Linked DNA regions of Saccharomyces cerevisiae S288C. The gene in region 3 interacts genetically with the main gene of each other region. Each region holds a gene or a part of one and is shown on either strand. Other genes may lie near its edges.

What was found.
Region 1: mutations in TPO5 (region 3) and YHB1 together harm fitness more than expected from each alone (negative genetic interaction), as found in Saccharomyces cerevisiae (one large-scale study listed by BioGRID).
Region 2: mutations in TPO5 (region 3) and TDA11 together harm fitness more than expected from each alone (negative genetic interaction), as found in Saccharomyces cerevisiae (one large-scale study listed by BioGRID).
Region 4: mutations in TPO5 (region 3) and MAL33 together harm fitness more than expected from each alone (negative genetic interaction), as found in Saccharomyces cerevisiae (one large-scale study listed by BioGRID).

Annotation. Positions count from the first base shown.
Region 1 is NC_001139.9:953,893-961,603, reverse strand, and holds YHB1 (flavohemoglobin), read right to left. Parts: upstream 1,701-7,711; coding exon 501-1,700; downstream 1-500. Other genes in the region: MIC26 (Mic26p), read left to right, coding at 1-244; PHO81 (Pho81p), read left to right, coding at 3,394-6,930; NAS6 (Nas6p), read right to left, coding at 6,958-7,644. UniProt on the Saccharomyces cerevisiae protein: Is involved in NO detoxification in an aerobic process, termed nitric oxide dioxygenase (NOD) reaction that utilizes O(2) and NAD(P)H to convert NO to nitrate, which protects the fungus from various noxious nitrogen compounds.
Region 2 is NC_001140.6:413,668-421,789, reverse strand, and holds TDA11 (Tda11p), read right to left. Parts: upstream 4,242-8,122; coding exon 2,727-4,241; downstream 1-2,726. Other genes in the region: YAP1801 (Yap1801p), read left to right, coding at 1-1,417; PEX18 (Pex18p), read left to right, coding at 1,718-2,569; KEL1 (Kel1p), read left to right, coding at 4,611-8,105.
Region 3 is NC_001143.9:117,451-125,865, forward strand, and holds TPO5 (Tpo5p), read right to left. Parts: upstream 4,787-8,415; coding exon 2,930-4,786; downstream 1-2,929. Other genes in the region: LST4 (Lst4p), read right to left, coding at 1-536; Zn(2+) transporter ZRT3, read left to right, coding at 1,343-2,854; U5 snRNP GTPase SNU114, read left to right, coding at 5,067-8,093; EBP2 (Ebp2p), read left to right, coding at 8,309-8,415. UniProt on the Saccharomyces cerevisiae protein: Required for polyamine transport. Transports putrescine effectively and spermidine less effectively.
Region 4 is NC_001134.8:795,809-803,792, reverse strand, and holds MAL33 (transcription factor MAL33), read right to left. Parts: upstream 3,271-7,984; coding exon 1,864-3,270; downstream 1-1,863. Other genes in the region: MAL31 (maltose permease), read left to right, coding at 1-1,162; TYC1 (Tyc1p), read left to right, coding at 3,551-3,670; PHO89 (Pho89p), read left to right, coding at 5,271-6,995; cation-transporting P-type ATPase PCA1, read right to left, coding at 7,294-7,984. UniProt on the Saccharomyces cerevisiae protein: Regulates the coordinate transcription of structural MAL3S (maltase) and MAL3T (maltose permease) genes.

The DNA.
Region 1 (7,711 bases), on a different chromosome or scaffold from region 3:
GGGGTCTTGTTGTTTTGCGTATGCAATGCCAACAACCTTCAGGAACACCATGGGTCTCATCCATAATCTAGAAATGAACACCTTTCCACACTTTACCGAAAGACAAGATCGTGTTTGGAAAGAAACAAAGAGATTAAGTACCGCGTCTGTGCAATACTACTATGATGCCAAAAAATGGTTGAACAAAGATGTAGAAAAAACAGGGAATGCAATCAAAAATTGGACTGGCGTTAACGTGAAGTGAACTCTGTTTAGCACCTGGCGCTTATTCATCTTATAAATACATACACAATCTTTACTTACTATCTAAATATTCCACATAGGATTTCACAAGGATTTCACGAGGATTTCTAACACAGTATAACAACAAAAGATTAGCAATGGTCTCATGTTTTAAAAATTTTTCTTATTTCGTAATATAACTTCTCAAACTGTGAAATCGAACAAGTGAAATTATCAAATGAATCAGTAATAAAATTGAAGTTTCCGAGGCTTAACGCCTAAACTTGCACGGTTGACATCTTTGGACCAAATGGTTCATAGTGAATCATATCATCACGATGCTCTAGTTCTTTTAGATGACCAATCATAGCTTGCATAAAAGCTAAAGAGCCGCAAGTGTAGACATCGGCATGCGCAGGTGACTTTTCCTTCAAGAATGCAGCATTAATCAGTGGTTCAGTATCAGTATGAACAATTATTTTGTCGACATTCGCACATTCAGCTAATAGTTCATCTACATGTTTTTTGAATGCTTGAGTCTTTTCATCATAGGAAGATTGAATCCAGTAAATTGGCCTATTTGGGTTGCATTTGACTTGTTCTTCTAACATAGCTAAAAGTGGTGTAACACCAACACCAGACGATAGTAACACCAATGGAACTTCGTTTTGGTGTATCAACTCTTTATTTATTGCGAAATCACCAGCCGGAGCACTAAGCTTAATTTCATCACCAACTTTAGCGTCCTTGTGTAAATATTCAGAGACTAATCCTGCAGGAAAATTTTCTCTGGCAGCTTCCATCTTTACTGCAAATCGTAAACCATTTTTAGTTGAAGCAGAACAAAGAGAGTAGTGTCTTAAAGCGTCGTATTGGTTTTCCTGTCTAATTGGGTGAGTGTTTACCGTAATATACTGACCTGGAGTGATTGGCAAGCTTTCCAATTCAATACCAGAACCGAACTTTGGCTTAACAGTAAATTCAACAATATCTGAAGCAACGTACTCTTTGGCAGTAATGTCAAATGGTTTCCAACCTGGCCATAAAGCTTCTTCGTACATTTTTTTTTCAACAGTGATGAAGATGTCAGCAATTGCTTGGTAAGCCTCGCCCCATGCATTAATTATCTCTGGAGTCGCAGCATCGCCTAAAACTTCCTTGATTGCTTTTAACAAGTACTCACCAACGATTGGATAATGCTCAGGTTTAATTTGCAAGGCACGATGCTTGTGGCCAATTTGCTTGACATGGTCCATAAGCACAGACAAATCGTCAATGTTCTTAGCCGCTGCCAAAACAGTAGTGGCCAAGGCATTTGGTTGTGCGCCAACCTTTTGATTAGTTCTGTTAAAAATATTAAGTAATTCGGTGTGTTCAGTAAGCATATTTTTGTAGAATGTACGCGTGATGACAGTGCCCTGCTGTTCCAAAACAGGAACGGTTGCTTTGATTATGGAACGGGTTTTTTCGGCTAGCATAATGAATAAAGTCTTTGTGTGGTTTGTTGAAAATGGTAAAAAATGAACAAGAATATACTGTATAAGAAAAATCAAGTCTCCACCTCAACCCACAATATTGTTATATATATATATATATATATATTTCCGTGTGTGTACAACATATTTCATCAGTAGTCTTGTACTTGACCACACACGGAACTGAAATGAAACTTTAACGGCAACAATTCAATAATAGTTGCTCTTAGATCTCCGTACAAGGAATGGTTAATTTCCGTATTTTCAGGTGGCATCAATACCATAATGTGTGAGTGCCAGCAAAAGATAGTTTTACAGGCGGTTCCTGCATTGCTTTCTGAGAGGGATGATCTGAAAACTATCCGTCGAAGACGCATAAGCGCGTCCGCTATTTTAGTAACGATTAGTAATCGAGCATTTAAAATTGACATTATTGGATAAAAAGAATACGTTATATCGGCCGGAGGATCCAACTTTAGTAGAAATAGAAAGATTTGCCGCGCAGACTATCATTTTCAGTTTAAATCCTCCACAGTATCAGAGTAGGCATCAAGGATGCCTTCCTTTGCTGGTACTCTGGGAAAATGTACCAGTTGGCAACGCAGGCGAACCAATAAACGAAGATTTCGGTCATTTGTTTTGCCGTCTGACCTTCTCAATTAGATTATGTCTTGGCAATTATACGAAGCTTGTGATTTTAAAAATGAGCCATGAGCTTGTTCGGAGAAGAGTCGCCTAAGGTACAGTGTGCACAGTTTTGCTTTTCAACGATGAATGCTTGAGCGTGGCGAAGAAAACCTTGCGGGCTTTTCGAAAATGTAAGGAATAAAAATGAAGTTTCCTGATTTATAAGCAAGCAATCACTGAACGAGAATATCTTGTAGTTAAGTGACTATCAAACGAGCATGAGGGTTACAAAGAACTTCCGTTTCAAAAATGAATATAATCGTACGTTTACCTTGTGGCAGCACTAGCTAACGCTACGTGAATGAACGTACCGTGCCCTATTATTCTTGCTTGTGCTATCTCAAGAATTGCATTTTGTAATAACAACTGCATGGGAAAAATTATATAGATTTTCTACTATTATGTCCGCCTAAGTCAGTTAACCATCTTTATCACAAAATATACAATTAACCAACTACTTAATCAATTCGGTTATATTGCTTAGTATATACGTCTTTGGCACGCGATTGAAACGCGCTAATTGCATCAGCCTATCTTTCTATGCAAGAATGCAAGAAAAATTGATGTGATGTGCCTTATCACAATTCATTACCTCCTATTTCCTCTGCAGCAACAAGTTTCCTTGATTATAAAGGTCTTTAGCGTGAGAGGTACAGGTGTTATGGCACGTGCGAATAAGGGCAGAAATTAATCAAATTTATCAACTATTTGGCGATGGCTCGAGACAGGTATAGAACCACTACTAGGTGATATTGAGGCTTTTGTACAATTTATAGCAAGTTTTTGAGAGTCCCTTCAAGTTTGTTACATAATCTTCTTTGTGCAACGTACAAGAGCAAAGTAGAAAAATTTGGTTTTTATTTTTTTAAGCAACATCAGCTGCACTAGTTGAGCTTTTGACAAGACATACTGCTCAAAAAATCTTCATAACATTATTTTTCGGTTCCACAGTGATTGAGCTTTTTGAGAGAATAACCCTTTGGAGGCAACATAGATAGATAAACGTGCAATGAAATTCGGCAAGTATTTGGAAGCCAGGCAGTTGGAACTGGCGGAGTACAACAGCCATTTTATTGATTATAAGGCTCTAAAGAAACTTATCAAACAATTGGCCATTCCCACGCTAAAGGCTAGTTCAGATTTAGATTTGCATTTAACATTAGATGACATCGACGAAAAAATTATACATCAGAGACTGCAAGAAAATAAAGCTGCCTTTTTTTTTAAACTAGAGAGGGAGCTGGAAAAAGTAAATGGTTATTATTTGGCGAGAGAGTCCGATTTAAGAATAAAATTCAATATATTACACTCAAAATATAAAGATTATAAGATAAATGGTAAGCTAAACTCAAACCAAGCTACCTCATTTAAAAACTTATATGCGGCTTTCAAAAAGTTTCAAAAGGATCTTAGAAATTTGGAGCAGTATGTTGAGTTAAATAAAACGGGATTTTCAAAAGCTCTGAAGAAATGGGACAAGAGATCTCAATCTCACGATAAAGATTTTTACCTTGCTACTGTTGTTTCCATTCAACCAATTTTTACCAGAGATGGGCCACTAAAATTAAACGATGAAACTTTACATATTCTCTTAGAGCTGAATGATATTGACAACAACAATAGAAGGGCAGACATACAATCCAGTACGTTTACTAATGACGATGATGACGACAATAATACCAGCAACAATAATAAACACAATAATAATAATAACAATAATAATAACAACAACAACAACAACAATAATAATAACATATTACACAATAATTATGAATTAACAACATCAAAGATTTCGGAAAACCAACTTGAACATCTTTTTCAAGCATCTTCCTCCTCCTTGGACATGGAGATGGAAATCGAAAACTGGTATAAGGAAATTTTGAATATAGCCACGGTGAAAGATGTTCAAAGAAAGCATGCACTACTAAGAAACTTCAGAGAAACCAAGATATTCACATATCTGCTACAAAATTCCTCAGAATCTTTTCATAAAAATGTCTTTTCTTTGTTGAAGGAGTGCTTAACGACGCTGTTTTTATTACTGGTGGCTAGTCCTTTGGACGATAACTCTCTGCATATTTTCTATAAAAGCAATCAGGATCATATTGATCTGTCATATTGTGACGAAGATGATCAAGTATTTTCACGAAAAAACGTATTTCACGAGGCTGCAAGTTGTCCAGAAAAATCACGCTTATTTATTCTAGATGAGGCTTTAACAACATCAAAGTTATCTAAAGAAACAGTACAAAAACTACTGAATGCCCAAGATATACATTCGCGGGTGCCGCTACATTATGCTGCAGAGCTAGGAAAACTGGAATTTGTTCACTCGTTGCTAATCACCAATCTTTTAGAGGACGTTGATCCCATTGATAGTGATTCTAAGACACCCTTGGTTTTGGCTATCACTAACAACCACATAGATGTTGTTAGGGATCTGCTGACTATTGGTGGTGCGAACGCATCACCCATTGAAAAGCCAATTCTGGATTATAGTAAGAATGTAATCAGCTCTACTAAAGTCCAGTTCGATCCTTTAAATGTTGCTTGTAAATTTAATAATCATGACGCCGCCAAGTTACTTTTAGAAATTCGGAGTAAGCAAAATGCTGATAATGCCAAGAACAAAAGTTCACAACACTTGTGTCAACCGCTTTTCAAAAAGAACTCAACAGGTTTATGCACTCTTCATATAGTGGCAAAAATTGGCGGCGATCCACAATTAATTCAACTATTGATACGTTATGGGGCGGATCCCAACGAAATTGATGGGTTTAATAAATGGACGCCCATTTTTTACGCTGTTCGTTCAGGTCATTCTGAAGTTATTACTGAACTATTGAAACATAATGCACGTCTGGATATTGAAGATGACAACGGCCATTCGCCACTTTTTTACGCCTTATGGGAGAGCCACGTTGATGTTTTGAATGCACTTTTACAAAGACCATTAAATTTGCCATCTGCACCCCTGAATGAAATAAATTCGCAGTCTAGTACGCAACGCCTTAATACAATAGATTTAACCCCAAATGATGACAAATTTGATTTAGACATTCAAGATAGCATTCCGGATTTTGCTTTACCACCGCCAATCATTCCACTAAGGAAATATGGTCATAATTTTTTGGAGAAAAAAATTTTCATCAAATTAAAGTTGAGGCCAGGTCTCGAGTCTATCAAGTTGACTCAGGATAACGGCATTATTATGTCATCATCACCAGGCAGAATTACTTTATCCTCAAACTTACCTGAAATAATACCGCGAAATGTTATTTTACCTGTTAGATCTGGCGAAATTAATAACTTTTGTAAGGATATCAGTGAAACAAATGATGAAGAAGATGATGATGAAATTAGTGAAGATCATGATGATGGAGAGATAATTTTCCAAGTAGATTCAATCGACGATTTTTCAATGGATTTCGAGATATTTCCTTCATTTGGCACAAGGATAATTGCCAAAACAACGGCAATGCCATTCCTTTTCAAGAAGGTGGCAATAAATAGTATTGCAACCATGAATTTACCCTTATTCGACACAAGACTAAATAATATTGGATCTCTCACTTTGGATTACCAAATTATTTTTCCTTATCCGGGAAATCCACTGAAAATCATAAATTATGAGCCGTATTGGAAATCTACAGGAAGTGATTTAATGACCTCTAGTAAAGACGGTAATTTTGTTACTTCTTCATCGTTGAATGGCAGTTTTATTAGTGTATTAGTTTGCGCTCTGAATGATGAAACCATAGTGGCTGCGCCAAAACCATACGTTGAATTCAAAGGCACGAAGATTCTGTTAAATGATTTAACGAAAGAACAATTGGAAAAGGTAGTGGATTATGACTTCGGTAAAATTGATGGAAGCTTCGATGAAGTAACATTGAAACAATACTTATCTTCGAGAGTGGTGCCTCTCAGAAGCCTACTAGAAGTTATTCCCGGGTCAGCCCAGCTGGTAATTCGTGTATATTTTCCTACAGATAAGGAAATTGACACAATTCCCATCAAAATATCGCCATTTATAAATATCAATCAATTCATTGATAAGCTTTTACTAATCATTTTCGAGCATGAACGTTTTTTGCGTCACAGCGGAAGTGGGAGTATGCGCCAAATAGTTTTCAGTTCATGCAATTGGGAAGCTTGCTCGATCCTTAACTGGAAACAACCCAATTTTCCGGTTTTGTTGCAAATGAAAAATCTACTCAGAGATTCAACCACAGGCAAATTTGTAGGTGATACTCCTAATTGTTTAAAGGAACTGGCCGTAAATCCTCAAAAAATGTCGTATTTAAACACGGAACTAATAAACATACATACAATGGTTCAATTTGCTATGAACAATAATTTGTTAGGTGTAACGCTTCCATATGAAGTACTGAAGATATGCCCGTCGTTGGCTAGGATCATCAAACAAAACGGACTACTGTTGATTGCATCGGTCGGGGAAAATGACCAAATACCAGCTGATGGAGGTTACAGCGGGATCTACTACGCTTGTGAGTTGCTTTTTGAGAATAATATTGATATGTAAAGTTCTGTAATATGTAGTTTTGAAATCTTATACATTATTTAGGAAAAACTTTTTAACCTGTTCATTAAGGGCAACATCTTCTGCCTTAGCGCCTTTATTATCTACAAGATCATATTCTGCACCATACTTTTCCACCAACAATACAGCTGCGTCACCGTGCCCTTCAGCCAAAGCATGAAATAGTGGGGTCCAACCCTGCTTATCCTGCCAATTTACAGCGCTTTTGCCCAAACCGCATAATAGTTCAATTAATTTCAAAGAACCCACCGACGCAGCTCTATGCAATGGAATTTGATTAAATTTATCTTTAATTCTTACGGACGCACCATTTTCAATTAAAAATTGGGATACTTCAAACCATTTCTTACCAACTGCCAAGTGCAAGCATGTAACTCCTTGATTGGTTATCTTATTTAGATCAGGCTTTAGAGGTCTGTCGTAAAGAGACTTTACCACCTCCAAATTCCCCACTGAACAAGCAATATGGAAAGGTGTCCATCCAGAATCATCTGGATAATCATCTAAGTTAACATTTTCCATTTTAGAAAGCAAAAAACTGGTAATTTCATGTGCTTGGAAAGAAACTGACCAGTGTAAAGGGATTCTGCCATCCTGGTCCTTCTGTAGCAACAAGGAAGGTTTGGAGTGTAGCAGCTCTTGTACCTTGAAAAACTCATTTTCCATGCAGGCTTGATGCAAAGGATAATTAGACATGGTTATACAGTTTTAAGGGCATGCATTTATGTAGCATTTATTATCACAGCTTCAGCTGATCGTTCTT
Region 2 (8,122 bases), on a different chromosome or scaffold from region 3:
AGCCCTGATTAAAAACAAGTATACACAATATGATTTGAGTAACGAATTGATCATATTTGGTTTCAAGCTGCTTATTCAAGACCTGCTAGCGCTATATAATGCTCTCAACGAAGGTATCATAACTCTGCTGGAGTCTTTTTTCGAACTATCTCATCATAATGCAGAGAGAACTCTAGACCTGTACAAGACGTTTGTTGATTTGACCGAGCACGTTGTCAGGTACTTGAAGAGCGGGAAGACTGCGGGCTTGAAAATACCCGTCATCAAGCATATCACTACCAAACTGGTCAGATCGCTAGAAGAACATCTGATAGAGGATGATAAGACGCACAACACTTTTGTGCCCGTTGACAGTTCTCAAGGAAGTGCTGGGGCCGTAGTAGCCAAATCTACTGCACAGGAAAGGTTGGAGCAAATCCGGGAACAAAAAAGGATACTAGAGGCACAATTGAAAAACGAACAAGTAGCGATTTCCCCTGCTCTAACTACTGTCACGGCGGCTCAATCTTACAACCCGTTTGGAACAGACTCTTCTATGCATACTAACATTCCAATGGCTGTGGCTAATCAAACGCAACAGATCGCAAATAACCCATTTGTATCTCAAACTCAGCCACAGGTGATGAATACACCAACCGCTCATACAGAGCCCGCAAATTTAAACGTTCCTGAATATGCAGCGGTCCAACACACAGTGAACTTCAACCCTGTACAAGATGCTGGCGTAAGTGCCCAACAAACGGGGTACTATTCGATTAACAACCATTTAACACCCACATTTACAGGTGCAGGGTTTGGAGGATACTCCGTTTCACAGGATACAACTGCCGCTTCTAATCAACAAGTCTCTCATTCACAAACTGGTTCTAACAACCCGTTCGCATTGCACAACGCCGCGACGATCGCAACAGGGAATCCTGCACACGAAAATGTCTTAAATAACCCATTTTCACGACCAAACTTTGATGAACAAAATACCAATATGCCGCTACAACAACAGATAATAAGTAACCCTTTTCAAAACCAAACGTACAATCAACAACAATTTCAACAACAAAAAATGCCTTTGAGCTCGATCAATAGCGTTATGACAACCCCTACTAGCATGCAGGGATCGATGAATATTCCTCAGCGTTTTGATAAAATGGAATTTCAGGCTCACTACACTCAGAATCATCTCCAACAACAGCAACAACAGCAACAGCAACAACAGCAACAGCAACAACAGCAACCACAACAGGGTTATTATGTGCCTGCAACTGCAGGAGCCAACCCTGTTACAAATATAACTGGGACAGTTCAACCTCAAAATTTCCCTTTCTATCCACAACAGCAACCACAACCGGAACAGTCTCAAACACAGCAACCAGTTTTAGGAAACCAATATGCTAACAACCTCAATTTAATTGATATGTAATATCTAGTATAATCAGGTATGTAAGGGAGTACTCAAGTGCATCTTTGGATAGCTATATATAGTTGTAAGGAAGAGCTATGTAATTTTTGCCATTTTGTACATATTTTGCATTTGTCCTATAGTATGTAATACTTACATCTTACTGTCTTCAATTCCTCCCGCCAACAAAAGATTTCGATAGCGCCGCACCATGGAGTTTATATTGTTATTTCCGAGACGACCTATATAAGGGAAAAGACGAAAACTGGGTATTTGATACTTGTCTAAACTTCAATGGACAAATGATATAAAATACAAACAATGAATAGTAACCGATGCCAAACGAATGAGGTGAATAAATTTATTAGTAGTACAGAAAAGGGGCCTTTTACGGGCAGGGACAATACGCTCTCTTTTAACAAAATCGGGAGCAGACTGAATTCACCACCGATTCTGAAGGATAAAATTGAGCTGAAATTTCTACAACACTCAGAAGATTTGAATCAATCACGGTCCTACGTAAATATTCGTCCTAGAACCTTAGAGGATCAAAGTTACAAATTTGAAGCGCCAAATCTAAATGACAATGAAACTTCTTGGGCCAAGGATTTTAGATATAACTTCCCTAAGAATGTTGAACCGCCCATCGAAAATCAAATCGCGAATCTTAATATAAACAACGGGCTACGGACATCTCAGACAGATTTTCCCTTAGGCTTTTATTCACAGAAAAACTTTAACATTGCTTCCTTCCCTGTGGTTGACCATCAGATATTCAAGACAACAGGTTTAGAACATCCTATCAACAGCCACATTGATTCTTTAATTAATGCTGAATTTTCGGAACTGGAAGCCAGTAGTTTGGAAGAAGATGTCCATACAGAAGAGGAAAATTCAGGTACGAGTCTGGAAGATGAAGAAACTGCCATGAAAGGTTTGGCTTCCGATATAATTGAGTTTTGCGATAATAATAGTGCCAATAAAGATGTAAAAGAAAGACTAAACAGTTCAAAGTTTATGGGGCTGATGGGCAGCATTAGTGATGGTTCTATAGTTTTAAAGAAGGATAACGGTACAGAAAGAAACCTTCAAAAACACGTAGGTTTTTGTTTTCAGAATTCAGGAAACTGGGCTGGTCTTGAGTTCCATGATGTTGAAGACAGAATTGCTTAACGGGCCTTGAAATTTCTTTAATTTAAACCATGAATTTCAGATATATAACACTTTTTAACCACTTTCAAGAGAAAACAGTATTAAATTACATACTGCGTTCACAGCTATACGTAAAAAGAGTGACAAGTGAAGAATAAACGTCATTTTGAAAAAGGAATTAGAAGTCTGTCATTTCAACTGAGTTTTTGACGGAGGAATTATCATTATCGGGTTCTCCAATAAAACTTAGCTTGTTACTACTTCTTTTACTTTTTTTTTCTCGTGTTCGATGTCCACTTTCATCTGTGAGACTATTATTCCCAGCATTGTCTTTCTGGAACTTAGTTGTCGTTTTAAATTTCCTCATGTTTAAACTAGAATCGTCGCCACTATCTTCTGCTTGCCCCCGGTTCGTAATTTTATGTGTACTTTTTTTCTGTTCATGCTGTCTATCGCTTTTATATACAGGATCACATCTGTTATCAGTAATAACATCATTATCGTTTTCTTCTTCTATACCGAGTAATCCGGCCTTGACATCGCTAACAAAGCTCCAAAGCGACCTGGAGACTGATCCTTGCGAAGGAGATTTTTGGCGAGCTCCAGGTGCTTCATTATCGTACTGTTGCGCGGACGACTCGCTATTACTAGTCGGTGTCCCTTCCTGTACCTCAGGCGTACCTGAAAGAGAGTCATCCCAATTCAGAGTTCTTTCAATTTCATGCTGAATGATTTTATCAAACTGATTAAACAGAGCTAATGGTTTGCTCCAAAGTGACTGTTTGGATGAATCTGACGAGTCGTCCCTTTGGCGCCTTTCTTGAATATCTTGCGGAGACACAGATCTTGACTGATTAGTACTTTGATGACCCATGTTCTTTGGTTTACTGACAGAACTAGGAAGGCTGCTGTTACCAGCATTTTCAGTTCGTGATTCCAAAGGTATATTCTGGTAAACCGGTGAAAAAGCCCGGTTTTTAACAGGTGTATTTAGAGAGGGATCCAAATGTTTACTCACTTGCTCCTTGAGTTCATGCAGTTCACGTGCCCGACGAGTATAGTTTTGCTCTTCATGCTGGGTTTGCTTTTTCAAATCTTCAATCTTTTGTTTGCATTCCAGAAGTTCTAACTCTTTTGTAGCGAGAGATTGTAGAAGCGCACTTACATCGACCCCATTTGTTGGTATGGTGGTCGCTATCATACTATTAACCGACTGCGAACTCCCATTTCTAGACCGTCGAAGTCCGCTGGCCATCGCTTGCTCACTAGAAAGTACAGTGGTTGACTCTAATGGGATTCCATAGGATCCCTCAGAATGACTTACTGAAGGTAAGTTGTTTTGAGATTCTGGTGTAGTGGGAACAACCATGGGTTGAATAAGTGATCTTCTCTTGCTCATTGCATTTGGAACTGAGACAGAAGAATGACGAGTTACCACCCTCCTAGCATCTGGCTTGGCTTGTAAGGGATGGTCCTGGTCATTTAATCTGGTAGGCGTCATTAGTCTTTGCGAATGCATGCTTCCCGCACTGGACGTACGATGGTGTTCTAGCCTATATCCATTGGAACTAGCAGAACGAATCTTTCGTCCAGTTTTCCTCACAGGTGACATCGAAATTATACTATTTCGGGTACTGGTGTCCACATCCAAATCCTTCTCATTAGACTCTATAAACTCGTCAAATTTATTCATATCAGTGCCCTAGGAGATAGATTTAATTATCCTCGGATCCATGTAGTGGTAATTGAGAAAAGCACAGTTAGTATTGGCCTTTTTCCTTACCTATTATATTGAACTTTACAACTTGTACCCTTCATCACCTTTGGAATCACGCGGCACGTCTTCTGGGGACTTGGCGACGCGGTTGTTGATAGTAAACTACAAGCAAGCATTCCTTTAAAATACGAAACAATAAGATATAGAAAAGCAACAGGGCTCGTTCTATAAAGTAATTGTTTTGCTTGATTTGTGATACTTACACTTATTAACAAATTCACAGTAATTTTTCAGGAAAAGTTAGAGCCCGTTTGCTTCAATTTGCACCTAGAAAATAACTCAAACATGGCTGGATTCAGCTTCGCCAAGAAATTCACTCACAAGAAACATGGAAAGACGCCTTCTGATGCTTCTATCTCTGACCAATCTAGAGAAGCTTCACTGTCAACTCCTCCAAATGAAAAATTTTTCACAAAACAAGAAACGCCTCAGAAAGGGCGTCAATTTTCACAAGGTTACCATTCTAATGTTAATAAAACTAGTTCACCACCTATGTTTGCCAGAAAACAGGTATCCGAATCAAGGATTCAACCGAGCGCAGTACCACCGCAACAGCGAAATGTCTCAGGACCGTCCACTACTCTCCATAAGCAGCTTTCAAAACAGAGAGAATATACCGTATGGAATAGAATCAAGTTACAGAATTCTCCTTTTCCACGTTATAGACATGTTGCTTCAGCATATGTTACAGACAAGAACCAGATATATGTTATTGGGGGACTTCATGACCAATCTGTGTACGGCGATACATGGATATTAACGGCCTTCGATAATGCCACCAGATTTTCCACTACAACGATAGACATAAGTGAAGCTACACCACCACCAAGGGTAGGCCACGCTGCTGTATTATGCGGGAATGCCTTTGTTGTATTTGGCGGTGACACACACAAAGTCAATAAGGAAGGTTTGATGGACGATGACATATACCTTTTGAATATTAATTCCTATAAATGGACAGTCCCGGCACCCGTGGGACCACGTCCATTGGGAAGGTACGGTCATAAAATTTCGATTATCGCCACAACTCAAATGAAAACAAAACTGTACGTGTTTGGTGGTCAATTTGATGACACCTACTTCAACGACTTGGCTGTTTACGACTTATCTTCTTTTAGAAGACCGGACTCTCATTGGGAATTTTTGAAACCAAGGACCTTTACACCACCACCTATTACCAATTTTACTATGATATCATACGATTCTAAACTATGGGTATTTGGTGGCGATACCTTACAAGGTTTAGTAAATGATGTGTTTATGTACGACCCTGCAATAAATGATTGGTTTATCATTGATACCACGGGTGAAAAGCCTCCTCCAGTTCAAGAACATGCTACTGTAGTCTACAACGATCTGATGTGTGTTGTAGGCGGGAAAGATGAGCATGATGCTTATTTGAACTCCGTGTATTTCCTAAACTTGAAATCGCGTAAATGGTTTAAATTACCTGTATTTACGGCTGGAATTCCGCAAGGCCGTTCTGGGCATTCTTTAACATTATTAAAAAATGATAAAATTTTGATTATGGGAGGAGATAAATTTGATTACGCTAGAGTCGAGGAGTACGACTTGCATACCTCTGATATTGATATGCAAAGAGGTACAATTGTTTATACGCTAGACTTGGCCCGCATAAAGGACCTTTGTCCAGGCGTAATGGATGTTCCAACTGATACGCCAACTCCGAGAAATGGTAATCTTGACCTGGCGACGCCCGTTACCCCAACCTCTCATCAAACTAAAAATATGAACGTACCAATTTCAGCAGCTCCTCTAGCTTCCGCTCCATCACCTGCACCAAAAGATTTTTCAGATGCTGATCGCCTCAACAGGGAGGTACACAATCGAAATGTGTCAACAGAACACCAAAATCAGAGCCACCCAGTAAATTCTGAATCTCACTTGATTGCTGAGCCTAACATTTTGACTCCATATGTTCCATCTGAAAGCTCACAAACGCCGGTTATGAAAATAACTTCCAACAAACCATTTGATACGCCTACTATCCAGAAAGAACCTGATCTTTCTGAAACTATGGATCCAACAGTTGGAAATCAGCGCATCCCATCTTCAATCTATGGAGATAATCTCACCCCTGCAAACCAAATAAAGAATAACTCCCCAATATTAGAGACGCTTCCAAGTAATGAGATAAAAACGCCCCAAAATGGTAATATAGAGGAAATAAAACATCTTCCTGACGCTGATGAAAAAATAGATTCCACGACGACCTTCGACCAAGAGATAAACGGGGACAAACTAGGCACATCTTCGATGTCCAAGGTTGAAGAGGACGGCAATGTTGCTGACGAAGACGACGAAATCGGTGTGGCTCAAATGGCGAGCTCCCCATCCAAAGATCAGTTCAAAATAAAGCATTATAATGAATCTTCAGAATTATCACAGAATAATACGGAGATCGACAAACTGTCCGAGCCTGTGGATATTACAATAAAGAAAAGCGACACCGCGGGCCATGATAGTGCTAACCATGTTATTGATGCAAGTGATGAAAAAAACGTGTCCCCAATGGGAGACGTTCCAACTGATACGAAAAATGAAGAAGCTAGCGTTCCTATAAATAGAGATGCTACTACCGAAGTCGTAGATAGGGCACTATTTGAGAAATTAAGATCGGAATTGCAAAGTTTGAAAGAATTGACGCACGAAAAGGCGCTTGAAGCCGGAGCTCACATAAAGGAATTAGAGACGGAGCTATGGCAGTTAAAATCCCAGAAGAATTCTGGGACAACGAAAGAAATAGATGAATTGGATTCCGTCAGACTGCAATCAAAATGTGAAATACTAGAGGCAGATAATCATTCCTTGGAAGATAAAGTTAATGAGCTAGAAGAGTTGGTGAATAGCAAATTCTTAGACATAGAGAATCTAAATGAAGTTATACAATTTCAGAACGAAAAAATTAAATCCTTAGAACTAGAGCCTAATTACAAAGAAAAACTTGAAGAACTACAGATAGAACATGAGAATTTGAGTAGAGAAAATGAAAGGTTGAAAAATGAAAGCAAACAACATAACGAAGATATAATCAATAATGTTGCGAATTACTCGTCACAGTTAGGCTCATTGATCAGTCATTGGAAAGAAAACAGAGCCAACTCTTCGTTTCTTGAATCTTCTTCTTCTTTGATATCTGTATCGGATGAAAATGGCGAGAAAACTGTCGGTGAACCCTATGGTGATCAAAGTCGTCACCACCGTGTAGTGATTAACAAACTAACGAATAGATTGGACGATTTGCTGGAGAGAAGTCAAGAGCTAACAATATCTAAAGAAAAACTATCTTCTGAATACCATGCTTTAAAGATGGAACACAGCTCATTAAGTCAAGATGTATTAGTAAAAGAGAATGAAATCAAAAAAATACAGAATGATTACAAAGAAAGTATCAGTTCTATGGACAGTGCAAGTAAGGCACTAATGGTTTCACAAAGAGAGCTAGAGAAGTACAAGAGTTTGAATAAAAAGTTAATCGACGAGTTAGATGAATTGAAGTTCAAAAATGGCGTCTGCAGTGAAAATTTCGAAAATGGTCTCAGAAGCACCGAGGAGAGTTCCAATAATGTAAAAAATAGCAACAGCATAAGAGAAAATCAATTCAACATCAAAATAAATGATCTGAAAGCGGAACTCTTCATCACTAATCAAGAAAGAGATGACTTGAAAAGTGAAGTGTTAGAGTTGAAAAAGAGATTATTGAATTTGGAAAATAACACCAAACAAGTTAATGAAGATGCTGACAGCGATCTACTATAAAAGACAATATGCGTAAT
Region 3 (8,415 bases):
ATCTTGTCGCACTGCGTCAAATCGGAAGATCTTACGGGAGAACCAAATATATATTCCTTCAATTCACTCGGCCGTATCTGCTCCATCGAATTTGAAATCTTTGACGTAGTGTAATCGAAGATATCACGGTAGTTGTTCCTACACGCCATTTGACCCGCTTCCTCAATGATCAAAATCCTGAATGCATACGTTTTTTCGTTAATAGACGTGATTTTATCAGTACCAAGACCTCCGTTGTTTTGTAACGTATCGATAGGACGACTATAAGGAATATCCCTCGAGCCGAAAAGCTTCAGTTTTAAGTCATCCGATATATGATCTAAAATGGGCGGAGAAGTCGTTGATAGCATTTCCGAAGGCTTTTCCACATTGACTGCAGTATCTAAAAGAGCTCCAGCAGCGGTCTTAGTAGTTCCTGTGCTTGCCGCTTTGCAGTATACAGGGACATTGGGAACTACGGAGGAAAAATCGGAATGCTCTGAGCTCTTCTCAAAACCAGACGAACTCGTCTTATTTCTCAGTAAATTACCCAACATATAAACTCTCCCTCTTCACCTTCTCTACAAGGCCACACACAAGACAGTTTTAACAGGCAAATGGTACTGGAGGCTCTCACCAATGGGGTTTAAGACGCTCCAAACACACGCTCTCCTTTTTTTCTTTATATATCGGTAGCAACGAAAGCTAGTCGCAGAACGTTACACACTAAAGCAGATCAATCAATCAATCCTGAGAACCTGCTTCGTTCAAACCATCCACTAGAAGAAACACGCACGTGTACCCAAAAATAGAGACAAACAAACAGACAAAAATAACAATGATTCCTACCGACTAAAGTAAAACAACACTCACGTAATAAAAAATCCTAGATACAACTCACTTGTATTCCTCTCTTCTTTGACCATCACTAAAGCTTCTCTCTTACTATATTCCTCAAATAAAAAAAAGTTGCAATGATTACTTACCAATGTGCCATAAACTCCGTGCACCACACTAGCCTTCGATTTGACACATCTCTAAGCTGAAACTGAGAATACTGTTGTAAAACAGGTATTGGCTGCTTCATAGTACACCCAATTGCCCACAACCCAAGTTAATCATAAGCTCTTGTTGTCGATGAATTGCTCAAAATGTGGCCATTCTTTCAATTTTGCACCTCTAAAACTGCTCCGTGGGTTGTGACAACAACCTTAAGGGTAATGGACTTTTTTAGAAAGACAAATGAGATGATTTCACCTACTGGTATATCATTTATTTATACACGACCGTTTTGACATTTCAGAGTTGCACGTTGGTATATCCTAATATTCTCACAAGCATCACAGTGAAGAAACGCAAGAAAATGGAAAAAATTCCCAGGTGGTTGTTGTTTTCTCTTATATCGTCGGTGCTGTGCATACTTGGGGCCCTGTGTGTGCCGTTGTTATCGGTTGCCTTCGATAGCAAGCGCAATAGCCAATCTAAGTTGGTCAACTATGGTCTTTCTCTAAGTGCCGGATCTATGATCACTACTTCACTATACATGCTATTGCCTCGGATCGAAAAATCAAACCGGTTCAAGGTTTTTCCTGGATTGCTTTTGGGTATTTGCCTCAGTTTTTTCTTAAACTACCTAGTCCACGCTTTCGCCAGCGAATCGTTGGTACACTGTGCTGATAGCGGTGACCATGCTACAGGTTCACATATACACTCCAAATCACATTCGCATTCGCACTCACACTCACATGCGGATTCGCATTCGAATTTTAGCAACGATCATGATTTAGAAAATGCTCCCTCTGAGCATGGTTATGCAACATCTTCTTCCAGTGTTTCTGAAAATGACCCGTTGATTACAAAGGATAGCGATAGACCCCAAATGAAAAAGAAAATGTCCCTAATTGACTTATTAACCAGAAGGAAATCAGAAGGCGAGTGTTGTGACCTAAACAAGTGCACTCCGCTCTTGCAATCAGAGCAGCCAGAATATATTGCATGTGTCCCACCAGTGATAAAGTCTTCTCAAAGTGAAAGAAACGTGCCACATGGATGCGAGGGATCAGAAGATAATGGACAATCCGATGACAAGGATCATCGTGGCCTTGTATGCGTGGAAAATAATATCGGTTACGATCTTGAAAACCTATCGTTGTACCGTAAGAATTTTCTTTCGAGCCGCCATCATCATTCCTCTGAATCGCCCGAAAATTATGGTTCCAACCAGTTGTCGCACTCTTTTTCGTCACCTTTGGGAAATGATGTAACTGAGAATCCGGCCGCATTGGCAGACACACAATACCATCCCGAAAATGGTTCATTATACCCCCACCATCATCACTTAGAGACCCCTTTTTCCAAATTACTGTCTATTGGTATGCAAACTTGTCTAGTCCTTGCATTACACAAATTTCCCGAAGGGTTTATTATTTTTTACACTAACAGGTCAGATTCGTCAAAGTCCTTGGGATTTTCCATTTTTTTAAGTTTGACGATCCATAATTTTGTCGAAGGATTTGCAATGACGTTACCATTCTACACTGTTTTCGAATCTAAATGGGTTGCCATTTTGATTACTGCCGTTCTCGGTGGTGGATCTCAACCATTAGGTGCATTGATAGGTTATTTCATCTTTAAAGGTAGTACTCCAAGGGATCACGAACCCAACATGGATTTTTTACTGAGCGTTACTGCAGGGTTCCTATTAGTAATTGGTTTACAAATGTTCCAAACTGGTATCGGATTTAGCGATGGACATCATCATCATCAAGGAGAAGGTGATGAAGAAATGAAACAGTCCCATAGCTCAGGCACAACTTGCTTGAAATGGTGCTGCACTGGCGTTTTGCTAATTCTAGCGAGTGCCCTTTTCACTTGATAAATTAAAACTACGTATATTCTTTCTATATAAGTCTTTTCCCATTAAATAACGGTGTATAATCACGATCATATATCATATATCATATCTACGATCATCGGCAAGATCAAATTCTTGTTCTGCTGTATGGTGCTCATCACCATAATCGGTTATCACGTTTTCCTCATTTTCCTCAAAGGGATTTTCTGTACTACTTTTAGGATGCACCTTGATGAAACCTTCTTCAGAATTATTTTCTACAGACTCTTTCACTGTGGTTCCCGAGTTTAGAGTATGTTCAACATTGCTATCCTCTAGTTCAAAAACAGTTTCTTCCGCATCACTGGGAATTGGAGCCTTGATGTCATCTGCCAAGGGTAATCTAAAATTATACTTCCCCCATTTGAAATAAAGACCAGTGATAACTAAAATGCAGAATACGTACACCATTAAAGCATAATTCATTGTTTTGAAAGTTACAGGCACTTGCGTTGGTAGGCAAACAGAAACCATAGATAACAAGAGCCACACAATAGAAACAATGTTGATGAACCAACCAAACTTATACCTGATTTTTACTGGCGCGCTTCGGATAGCTCTTCTTCTCGTAAACAGCACCAAGACTAACGGAATGAAAGTCGCAGAACAAAGACAGAGCACTGCAGCGCCTATAAAAGCATTAAATGCGGCCGTTGAAATCAAAGCTAGCAGACCTAAAAAGTATGATATTATCATACTCAATACAACAGAATTCTTGGGGACTTTTGACTGAGAATCCGGTTCGACGTAGGTCCATTTATCGTAGTATGGTATAGCCTGGTCACGACTAAAACTATATACCGCACGAGAAGATGTAGTAATCGAGCCAATTCCGGAAAACAGTAAGTTTCCTAAAATTAGGAGCACTAAAAAAAAAGACAAGACCACCGAATCAGTCGATTTTGTAAAAATGTTCACTATTGGTAGAACCTTATGATTGGTAAAAAGCAAATCATTATCTGGCAGGATTAACATTATTGGTATAAGAAAAATGACTCCAGAGAACGCGGATAACAATACCGCATTCGACATACCACGTGGAATATCCTTCTCAGGAACTTTGACTTCGTCAGCTAAAGCAGGTAACATACTGAAACCTTGTAACGTGAAATTAGACTGTTGGAATCCAATGATGAAGGAAAGAAATGCGCTTTTATACCCTGATAGATTATTATCAAAGTGAAATAGCGCGTACTTCAAAGATCGAAATTTACCTTTGTGGAATACTAGTAGAAGAATATCAATAAATATAATGGCATATATGATCCAATAAACACAGACTTTGTTTATTGTTTCAATAAATCTTGCAAATTTCAAATTCACGAGGCCTACAACAGTCACAACTAAGTAAAATACAATGACTGTGTAAAAAATCAAGTGTGCCTCGGATATTAGGTTGGAGTTCGTCATCAGAATCAAAGAAATGGTAAGTTGAGCGCCTGCAAAAGTAATACTGGTACTCATAGTCCAATTCCCTATGAGCATTAACCAGCCAGTGTACCACGAACATACTAATTTCAATTTCTCCGGGGCCAACATGGCACTCCCAACATGCAGTTCCATCGGAAATTTTGAAACAATCTCACCAAGAGAAAGCGACGAAAACCATATACACACTCCACTGATTAAAAAACCTAGCATTATAGTTAACGGACCACCATTAATTAGCCCAATGGCCATACTAGTGCACATTCCTAAAACGGGACTCATTAGTCCTAAACCGAGACCGACAATAGAACCTCTTGACAATAACGATTTATCCAACACCTGATCATAATTGAAATGCTCGGCCTCCTCGTTCTCTTGACTGTCATCTTCATGAACAATGGTGTGCAAGTTATCAAACAAACCATTCGGATCGAAATGAACGATATTCTCCCTTATATTATCAGCCAGTAGCGTATACTCTGGCATTTTTCATTTATTTGACTTATTTTTATTTATTTTATTGTACAATGGCAAACAAATACACGGACTGGTATGTTCTTCGTCAAATTGATGATCTGTTCTTTTGGCTTATCCTTATGGGATGATTAATGATTGTTAAAGCCTCATTGCGGAAATTTTAATGCCGGAAAGGCCTGAAAAATTTCAAAGTGGCAGAAAACAAGGCTTTGGGGCATTACTTGCCAACGGCTGACGATTGCTAGCTGCTTTTACAGAAGCGATACACAATAGCTCCTAACATAGCAAAATGGAAGGTGACGATTTATTCGATGAGTTTGGAAATTTGATCGGAGTTGATCCTTTTGACTCGGATGAAGAAGAAAGTGTGCTGGATGAGCAAGAACAATATCAAACCAATACGTTTGAGGGGAGCGGCAACAACAATGAGATTGAGAGCAGACAACTTACCTCGTTAGGAAGTAAAAAGGAACTTGGAATTTCCTTAGAGCACCCTTATGGTAAGGAAGTGGAAGTATTAATGGAAACTAAGAACACACAGTCACCACAGACTCCACTGGTAGAGCCGGTTACAGAACGAACAAAGTTGCAAGAGCATACAATTTTTACACAATTAAAAAAAAACATTCCGAAGACTAGATATAATCGAGACTATATGTTATCAATGGCTAACATTCCGGAGAGGATAATAAATGTTGGTGTCATTGGACCTCTTCACTCAGGTAAGACCTCTTTGATGGATCTCCTAGTAATCGACTCACACAAACGCATACCAGATATGTCTAAGAATGTAGAACTTGGATGGAAACCGCTAAGATACCTGGATAATTTGAAACAAGAGATTGACCGGGGTCTTTCCATTAAACTTAATGGTTCCACTCTACTCTGCACCGATTTAGAATCCAAGTCTAGAATGATAAACTTTTTGGATGCACCAGGGCATGTTAATTTTATGGATGAAACGGCAGTCGCACTTGCAGCAAGTGATTTGGTTTTAATCGTGATAGATGTTGTAGAAGGTGTTACATTTGTGGTAGAGCAATTGATAAAACAAAGTATTAAAAATAATGTAGCAATGTGTTTTGTTATAAATAAACTCGACAGATTGATTCTAGATTTAAAGTTGCCACCAATGGACGCATACTTGAAGTTAAATCATATAATTGCAAATATCAATTCCTTTACGAAGGGAAACGTGTTTTCACCAATAGACAATAACATAATATTTGCGTCTACAAAGCTGGGCTTCACATTCACTATCAAGGAATTTGTTTCTTATTATTACGCCCACTCCATACCTTCTTCTAAGATAGACGACTTTACCACAAGGCTATGGGGTAGCGTATATTACCATAAAGGTAATTTCAGGACAAAACCATTTGAAAATGTAGAGAAGTACCCGACTTTCGTTGAATTTATCCTCATCCCGCTTTATAAAATATTTTCCTACGCTTTATCTATGGAGAAAGATAAATTAAAGAATTTGTTAAGGTCTAACTTTAGAGTTAATTTAAGTCAAGAGGCCCTCCAGTACGATCCGCAACCTTTTTTAAAACACGTTCTACAGTTAATATTTAGGCAACAAACCGGTCTTGTAGATGCGATAACCAGATGTTATCAACCATTTGAATTATTCGACAATAAGACAGCTCATCTTTCAATTCCAGGAAAATCTACACCAGAAGGCACTCTTTGGGCTCATGTACTGAAAACTGTGGATTACGGTGGAGCAGAGTGGTCCCTTGTACGGATATACTCTGGACTTTTGAAGAGAGGGGATACAGTACGTATACTTGATACATCACAATCTGAATCTCGCCAAAAAAGACAGTTGCATGATATCTCAAAGACGGAAACCTCCAACGAAGATGAAGATGAAGATGACGAAACGCCTTCATGTGAGGTCGAAGAAATTGGCTTATTAGGTGGCAGATATGTCTATCCGGTTCATGAAGCACACAAAGGACAGATAGTATTAATAAAAGGTATTTCAAGTGCATATATTAAATCCGCGACGTTGTACTCTGTAAAGAGTAAGGAGGACATGAAACAGCTAAAATTTTTCAAACCTTTAGATTATATTACCGAGGCAGTTTTCAAAATTGTTCTTCAACCTTTACTGCCAAGGGAATTACCCAAGTTATTGGATGCCCTGAACAAAATTTCGAAATACTACCCAGGCGTTATTATTAAAGTTGAGGAATCTGGAGAACATGTAATACTAGGAAATGGAGAGCTGTATATGGACTGTTTGTTGTATGATCTAAGAGCGAGTTATGCAAAGATAGAAATTAAAATATCTGATCCTTTAACTGTTTTTTCTGAAAGTTGCTCAAATGAATCGTTCGCTTCAATACCTGTAAGTAATTCGATATCTCGCCTTGGTGAGGAAAATTTACCAGGTCTGTCGATTAGTGTAGCCGCTGAACCAATGGACTCTAAAATGATTCAGGATTTGAGCAGGAACACATTGGGAAAGGGTCAAAACTGCTTGGATATTGACGGAATAATGGACAACCCAAGGAAACTATCCAAAATATTGAGAACCGAGTATGGGTGGGATTCGTTGGCATCAAGAAACGTTTGGTCTTTTTATAATGGCAACGTGTTGATTAATGACACTTTGCCAGATGAAATCAGTCCTGAATTATTATCCAAATATAAGGAACAAATAATACAAGGATTTTACTGGGCTGTAAAAGAGGGGCCTTTGGCAGAAGAACCAATTTATGGTGTACAGTATAAATTGTTATCGATCTCAGTACCTTCCGACGTAAACATTGACGTTATGAAAAGTCAAATTATTCCGCTAATGAAAAAAGCCTGTTACGTTGGCTTACTGACAGCAATCCCAATTTTATTGGAACCCATCTATGAAGTTGACATCACGGTCCACGCCCCCTTGCTGCCAATAGTAGAGGAACTTATGAAGAAGAGACGTGGAAGCAGGATATACAAAACAATAAAAGTGGCAGGGACACCATTGTTGGAGGTTCGTGGACAAGTTCCGGTTATTGAATCTGCAGGATTCGAGACAGATTTGAGATTATCTACGAATGGTCTTGGTATGTGTCAGCTGTACTTTTGGCACAAGATATGGAGGAAGGTTCCTGGTGATGTTTTGGATAAAGATGCGTTTATTCCAAAATTGAAACCCGCACCTATCAACAGTTTAAGTCGTGATTTCGTGATGAAAACAAGAAGGCGGAAGGGTATTTCTACAGGTGGATTTATGTCAAATGATGGTCCTACGCTTGAAAAGTATATAAGCGCTGAATTATACGCTCAATTAAGAGAAAATGGCTTAGTACCGTGAAAATCTTGGCGCATAAGAATTAAGCAATATGTCCACAATATTTTTATTCAGCAGAATTTACATATGACTTCGTATTTAGTGATATAACTACTCATCGGGACTGAAAATTTTTTATTTCTGCCTAAATACAGATGAGATGAGCTTTATAGAATTTTACGCTGTTAAAAAGTTAAACGGTAACAAAGCACAGTTAGTTGAACAACGGTATATAGAGAATGGCTAAAGGTTTCAAGTTGAAGGAGTTGCTTTCGCATCAAAAGGAAATTGAAAAAGCTGAAAAGCTTGAAAATGACCTAAAGAAAAAGAAATCCCAAGAATTGAA
Region 4 (7,984 bases), on a different chromosome or scaffold from region 3:
AATTTGTCCTTTGGCCCTAAGATACTATTTGACGACTTATTCTAATTTATGTTGGGCGTTCGGTCAACTTTTCGCTGCTGGTATTATGAAAAATTCCCAGAACAAATATGCCAACTCAGAACTAGGATATAAGCTACCTTTTGCTTTGCAGTGGATCTGGCCCCTTCCTTTGGCGGTAGGTATTTTTTTTGCACCAGAGTCTCCATGGTGGCTGGTTAAAAAAGGAAGGATTGATCAAGCGAGGAGATCACTTGAAAGAACATTAAGTGGTAAAGGACCCGAGAAAGAATTACTAGTGAGTATGGAACTCGATAAAATCAAAACTACTATAGAAAAGGAGCAGAAAATGTCTGATGAAGGAACTTACTGGGATTGTGTGAAAGATGGTATTAACAGGAGAAGAACGAGAATAGCTTGTTTATGTTGGATCGGTCAATGCTCCTGTGGTGCATCATTAATTGGTTATTCAACTTACTTTTATGAAAAAGCTGGTGTTAGCACTGATACGGCTTTTACTTTCAGTATTATCCAATATTGTCTTGGTATTGCTGCAACGTTTATATCCTGGTGGGCTTCAAAATATTGTGGCAGATTTGACCTTTATGCTTTTGGGCTGGCTTTTCAGGCTATTATGTTCTTCATTATCGGTGGTTTAGGATGTTCAGACACTCATGGCGCTAAAATGGGTAGTGGTGCTCTTCTAATGGTTGTCGCGTTCTTTTACAACCTCGGTATTGCACCTGTTGTTTTTTGCTTAGTGTCTGAAATACCGTCTTCAAGGCTAAGAACCAAAACAATTATTTTGGCTCGTAATGCTTACAATGTGATCCAAGTTGTAGTTACAGTTTTGATCATGTACCAATTGAACTCAGAGAAATGGAATTGGGGTGCTAAATCAGGCTTTTTCTGGGGAGGATTTTGTCTGGCCACTTTAGCTTGGGCTGTTGTCGATTTACCAGAAACCGCTGGCAGGACTTTTATTGAGATAAATGAATTGTTTAGACTTGGTGTTCCAGCAAGAAAGTTCAAGTCGACTAAAGTCGACCCTTTTGCAGCTGCCAAAGCAGCAGCTGCAGAAATTAATGTTAAAGATCCGAAGGAAGATTTGGAAACTTCTGTGGTAGATGAAGGGCGAAACACCTCATCTGTTGTGAACAAATGATTTTTTTAGCCAGTAGGTAGATACGGCGTTATTTAATTTTATTTTATATAACTAGTACTTAACACATCGAGTTTATTTTTACTCGACATTATGACTTTTTTTTGGTTTTGTTGCGGCTTTGAAGTTTTTTCAACTAGAGGTTATTATTTTGTTCTGAAAAAACGTTAATGATTTAAATGAATCATTGTGATGAGGGTCCTAGATTTAAATATCTTGCAAAAAGAAGTACTAATATACAATTTTTTCATTCCCGTTAATGAAAATGCTTGAATTTTTATATTGTATATTGATACACTCTATTCATGTTCCGGCAACAATTATTTTTTTTTTAATTCTGTAAATTTACTTTTTGACGTATTCTTTCAGCATTTCTGTGCTTATGTTAGAATTCAAGAGAGTATTCCCTATTCCTGGTAACGTAAATTCGCTTTGTAAATCAACGATACATGATTCTCATATCCCAACAAAAATGCCACAAAATTTATATTAGTAAGCTGCCCGCTTAAGTATATACTTAATGTAACTGTATATAGAATTATCATGACCATCAGAACTAAATATTACAAACAAGTAAGGCAGGAGTAGAATAATCTCGCCTGAAGAACATAGCTTCTTACACCCTCGAAAAGCAAGACTTAAGAATATCACTCACACTCTATCAGTATATCTATCTCGTATAAGTGAACGGCGTGAACAATAAATTAAGGAATTATGTCGTCTTCATCTTTGGAATCATCATTTAGGCGCAGTGGTCTAGAGATAGGCAAATCGATTAGAGCACTCTGACATTTAGTTGAAAACCTTTGAAACATTTTATGATTGCAATGTTTCAGGGAGAAAACGAACTTGGATACATCGCACAAAATATTCCAAGCCTCCAACTTCATATTGTGATCATACTTATTTACGATATCTACCAATGCATTGGCTACTTCCAATGATTTCATTGGTATTCCAGGACCATGTACATCATACAGGTTGTTTGGAGTTAAGAATATGTCGTCCAGCATATCCTTTGCAATTTCGACCAATATGTGAGCATTATTGGCGTTTGAGAAAAACTTGGTACCATTCATCTGAAACACTAGCTTCCAAGCCAGCGCCCTAATCCAATGTCGAGAAAATGAAATGTCCACATAGCCATAAGACCATGGTTCTATTTCAAGGGATGCTGTGTGAAGCTCTTTCCATATTTTTTTCAGTGAGTCTTCAGTGCAAGAACCGCTAGTAGACTCCGTAGCCAAAGCATCAAAAAAGCATTTACCTGGTACAGTAAATACTCTAATCATCTCAAAAAAGCTATCCAAAGAAAGTCGAGGGTCCGTTACGAACTCTGGCTGAGGTGGAGCTATTGTGGTATCCAAACTTGTAACACAATGAACATATACGGAATAGTATCTTTCCGTCAAGAGAAGCAAATAATACACCTTGCGTAAAAGCTGTTGCTCACGAAATGATAGTGATTCGTATGCTTTTTCACGATGTAACCCTGCTACAATAACAAGGCCAATAGCTTCACGACAAAGTCTGTATGAATTTCTTACATCAGAAGACTGTGAAAAACAACGTAGCAAGCAATAATATGTCATAATTCGGAAAATGTCTCTGCCGCTAAGGTCATCAAATTGTTGGCGTGAGGACATACAGAGAACGGCTAATTGTTTTCCAGTAAACGAAAATCCCCCCTCAGATTCTAATTCGCTTTGTAGATCGCTAAGATTGGCTGCTGAAAGAGCTACGAGAAACCAATAAACGTAATGGTCATTGTATTCTTCGTCCAAAAGCTTGTGAAGGTCATCATAAGAGAGTAAAGGCCAGATAACATATAGATTGTCGTGATAAAGCCTCAAACACTGATCAATCACCTTTTTAGGAACCTTCATTAATATTTCTGCCGCTGCCGTACAACTTTTATTATCTATAAACATTTTGGCCTTTGGTATATACTTTAAGCTTCTAGTTCCAATAGGCTTTGAGCCTCTTTTTTTTAATGGTTGCTGATATGTGCAATCGAAATTGTGCTCAATACAGCGACTACATGGTTTTTTACCATCACACTTTACTCGACGGACACGACAATAGTCGCATGCATACTTGACTAAAGTCATATTTAGAACATAAATATCTTCAAGATGCTCTCGTTCGATGTTTGATATTCAATATTTACACTCTAGTGTTTTCCCGAGAAAGAAACCTTCTGAAATGATTTTTTGTTCCTTTTTAATCTATTGAAAAATGGCGGTACGGACAATAAAATCCGGGGGCGGGGTAAATTGCGCATGGCCGTGGAATGTCACTGCAAAGTGAACGAGAAGATTAGAACACGGAATAAGGAAAACTTCTGGGGAATTTATTTTTCAAGATTTGGTTCCAGGTTTTTCCCCAGAAATGAAAGTGCTAGATGATTGGTTTTCAAGGAAGTTCTCAAAAGCTGTACACGGAAACAATCACGGCACCATTTCCTTGTCAACTCTGTCTTATATCAGAGTCCATAAACTAGTAAAATGACTTCGTAGAATCGAACAATATCTCACCATAAAATTTTTTTCACAAACAAAAAAGACGCTCTATTATACAAAAAGCTGCTGCGGCCCTTCTTAATGACTAAATCTTGACAACTGAGCTCTTTCACACCTGTGCAAAATCCAATGGGAGCAATAAATGTAACATATTTTTTTAACATACCACGGTAGGGCAATGAATATAAATAGATATTGGACCGTATCCTTTTCTGATCATCTTGAAAACATTGTCTTGCCTCTCAACAGCTTTATCTATTCTTCACCTCTCTTCGTTTGACTATTTCAGCATGTATTTTTTCACACAATTTTTCTTCCAACTATTTTCCAATATTACTACGAGAATTCCGACCACGGAAAAAAACTTGCGCTGTTCCAATCAGTCCCATTCTATCCATCTACCTGCCAGTGGTTTCGTAATATCGACTCACACCAGTAACGACATAACTGTTTTTTCGTTCATGATTTAATAGCGAGCCCACCTTTAACGCATATCTGCTTCACCGCTGAAATAATATTTTACGAGCACGCTAACACAATGCTTGTGTTTTCTGTTGAAATCACAATACCGTTACTTGGAGTGACCATTTATGGTTTGTTGAATTCACAGTACTCTCGTCAGCTTTGTCACGTATTCAACTGTAACCTCTTTGAATCTCAACACTACGTTGTCTTCGCGTGTACTAAATGTATCGATTATATAATAGTATTTAAAAATCATTTAAAATTGCACCATGTACTGTATAATGATTTTCTCAAGACGATATTTCGAGTTTTGCCGATGGGTCTTATAATCTCTTTTGATAGAGATACCTACTTTTAACAATATCAAAATTACTGATATAGGTTAATTTTTGTTCACGAGTAAGTACTTCAGTGACACTCGTCAGTAAAGAACATTAGCGGAATCGTTATAATTTCATTCCTTACATCCGTTTAATTTCATTAATTCGATGCATCTTTCTTTGGCGAAGCCAGAAAATCTAGTTTCAGAAATCTCGGTTTCACCCGCAAAAAAGTTTAAATTTCACAGATCGCGCCACACCGATCACAAAACGGCTTCACCACAAGGGTGTGTGGCTGTGCGATAGACCTTTTTTTTCTTTTTCTGCTTTTTCGTCATCCCCACGTTGTGCCATTAATTTGTTAGTGGGCCCTTAAATGTCGAAATATTGCTAAAAATTGGCCCGAGTCATTGAAAGGCTTTAAGAATATACCGTACAAAGGAGTTTATGTAATCTTAATAAATTGCATATGACAATGCAGCACGTGGGAGACAAATAGTAATAATACTAATCTATCAATACTAGATGTCACAGCCACTTTGGATCCTTCTATTATGTAAATCATTAGATTAACTCAGTCAATAGCAGATTTTTTTTACAATGTCTACTGGGTGGACATCTCCAAACAATTCATGTCACTAAGCCCGGTTTTCGATATGAAGAAAATTATATATAAACCTGCTGAAGATGATCTTTACATTGAGGTTATTTTACATGAATTGTCATAGAATGAGTGACATAGATCAAAGGTGAGAATACTGGAGCGTATCTAATCGAATCAATATAAACAAAGATTAAGCAAAAATGGCTTTACATCAATTTGACTATATTTTTGCCATTGCCATGTTATTTGCATTTTTGGATGCCTTTAACATCGGGGCAAACGACGTGGCGAACTCATTCGCGTCGTCGATCTCTTCTAGATCTCTAAAATACTGGCAAGCCATGGTTTTGGCGGGTCTCTGTGAGTTCTTGGGTGCTGTCTTGGCAGGCGCAAGAGTTTCTGGTACTATCAAGAACAACATTATAGATTCCTCCATTTTTACCAACGACCCCGCTGTTTTAATGCTTACTATGACCAGTGCTTTGATTGGCTCGTCTTGTTGGTTAACATTTGCTACTGCAATCGGAATGCCAGTTTCTACTACACATTCCATTGTTGGTGGTACAATTGGCGCTGGGATTGCAGCCGGTGGAGCTAACGGTGTCGTTTGGGGTTGGAGTGGTGTTTCTCAAATTATTGCGTCATGGTTCATTGCTCCGATTTTGGCAGGCGCGATCGCAGCTATAGTTTTTTCAATTTCTAGGTTTTCTGTCCTTGAAGTTAAGTCTTTGGAAAGATCGATTAAGAATGCTTTACTGCTGGTTGGTGTTTTAGTATTCGCCACTTTCTCTATCTTAACAATGTTGATTGTCTGGAAGGGTTCTCCAAACCTACACTTGGACGATTTATCTGAAACTGAAACTGCCGTATCTATTGTTCTCACAGGTGCAATTGCTTCGATCGTTTACTTCATCTTTTTCTACCCATTCTACAGAAGAAAAGTTTTGGACCAAGATTGGACACTAAAGTTGATTGATATTTTCAGAGGTCCATCTTTTTACTTTAAGTCCACTGATGATATCCCACCAATGCCAGAAGGCCATCAATTAACAATCGATTATTACGAGGGCAGAAGAAATCTTGGAACAACTGTTTCTGTTGAAGACGAAGAAAATAAGGCAGCGAGTAATTCTAATGATTCCGTCAAAAACAAAGAAGACATCCAGGAAGTGGACCTGGTTAGAACTGAAACTGAACCAGAAACAAAGTTGTCAACGAAACAATATTGGTGGTCATTATTAAAGCAAGGACCTAAAAAATGGCCCTTATTGTTCTGGTTAGTAATCTCTCATGGTTGGACTCAAGACGTCATTCATGCTCAAGTTAATGATAGAGATATGTTATCTGGTGACCTGAAAGGAATGTACGAAAGATCTAAATTTTACGACAATAGAGTAGAATATATCTATTCGGTTCTCCAAGCCATTACTGCAGCCACTATGTCTTTTGCTCATGGAGCTAATGACGTTGCCAACGCTACTGGTCCTTTGTCTGCTGTGTATGTGATCTGGAAAACTAACACTATTGGGGCAAAGTCCGAAGTTCCCGTGTGGGTTCTGGCTTATGGTGGTGTTGCCTTAGTTATTGGTTGCTGGACTTATGGTTACAATATTATCAAAAATCTAGGTAATAAGATGATTTTGCAGTCGCCATCAAGAGGCTTTTCAATTGAACTAGCTGTTGCTATTACTACTGTCATGGCTACCCAATTAGGTATTCCTACCTCAACAACCCAGATCGCCGTTGGTGGTATTGTCGCTGTTGGTTTATGTAACAAGGATCTCAAATCAGTTAATTGGAGAATGGTAGCCTGGTGTTATTCTGGTTGGTTTTTAACTTTACCAATTGCTGGTTTGATTGCCGGTATCATAAATGGTATCATTTTGAATGCTCCTCGCTTTGGTGTGGAATACCAAATGACATAATCATAATGTGTTTCGGTTATGAATACAGTTTTACAACATTAGGTAGAACTTTTATTGCTCAGTGACTTTAAAGTTAAAACATTTCTAATTTAAAACCTTAAAGATGCATTAATTTTTTTCTAATTTATCAGTTGATCTGCAATTACCTGGCATGGCTATGTGTATTTTTTTTTTTTATGAATTCCATCATATTAAATAGAAAACTAAACTAAATAATAAATAGAGTATTACAGAGTCGTCAAAAAAAAAAAAGAAAAGAAAAAAGAAAATCTACAATCAAATAGCAGCAGTACCTGGACTAAATCTTTGCATAACGCAGAAGTATAGCTACAAAAATTACAGGGAGGATACTAACTAGTTCCCCTAAACCCGCATACTCTGGTGGAATATGAAAGTCAACAAAGGCACCAGCCGCCAAAAGGATAGCAAATAAGTTGTAAGTAAAACTCCATAAGAAATTCAATTTGACCCTAAACATGGCCTTTTGACTTACAGTTATCATAGTCAAAATATTGTTGAGCTTTGGCTTTAACATAACTACATCAGCAGCTAGCTTGGCAACCTCACTTCCCTCATTGATATGAACTCCAATCGTTGCTTGAGTCAAACCAATTGCGTCGTTTGTTCCGTCACCGCAAAAAACAACAACCGGTCTTTTTGACTGCGAAGAACTATCGCAATTTCTTCCTTCGACAATATCCTTAATATATTCACTCTTTTCTGCAGGCGTTGCGTGAGAACGAATATTGGAGCTTTCAATTCCAAGACGGGCTGCCATAGAACGAACGGCTCCATCGTCATCCCCTGATAAAATGTGTAGTGAAATCCCTCTTTGGCGTAACAAGTTAATAGTGGAGACAGCATCTGCCCGTAAAGAGTCCTCTAATGCATAAACTGCAGTGACTGAACCATTAACACTAAAACAGAATACAGAATATCCTTGTTCAAGGGCTTTTCGAACGTCAGGATCATTGTTATGACCAAGCCAA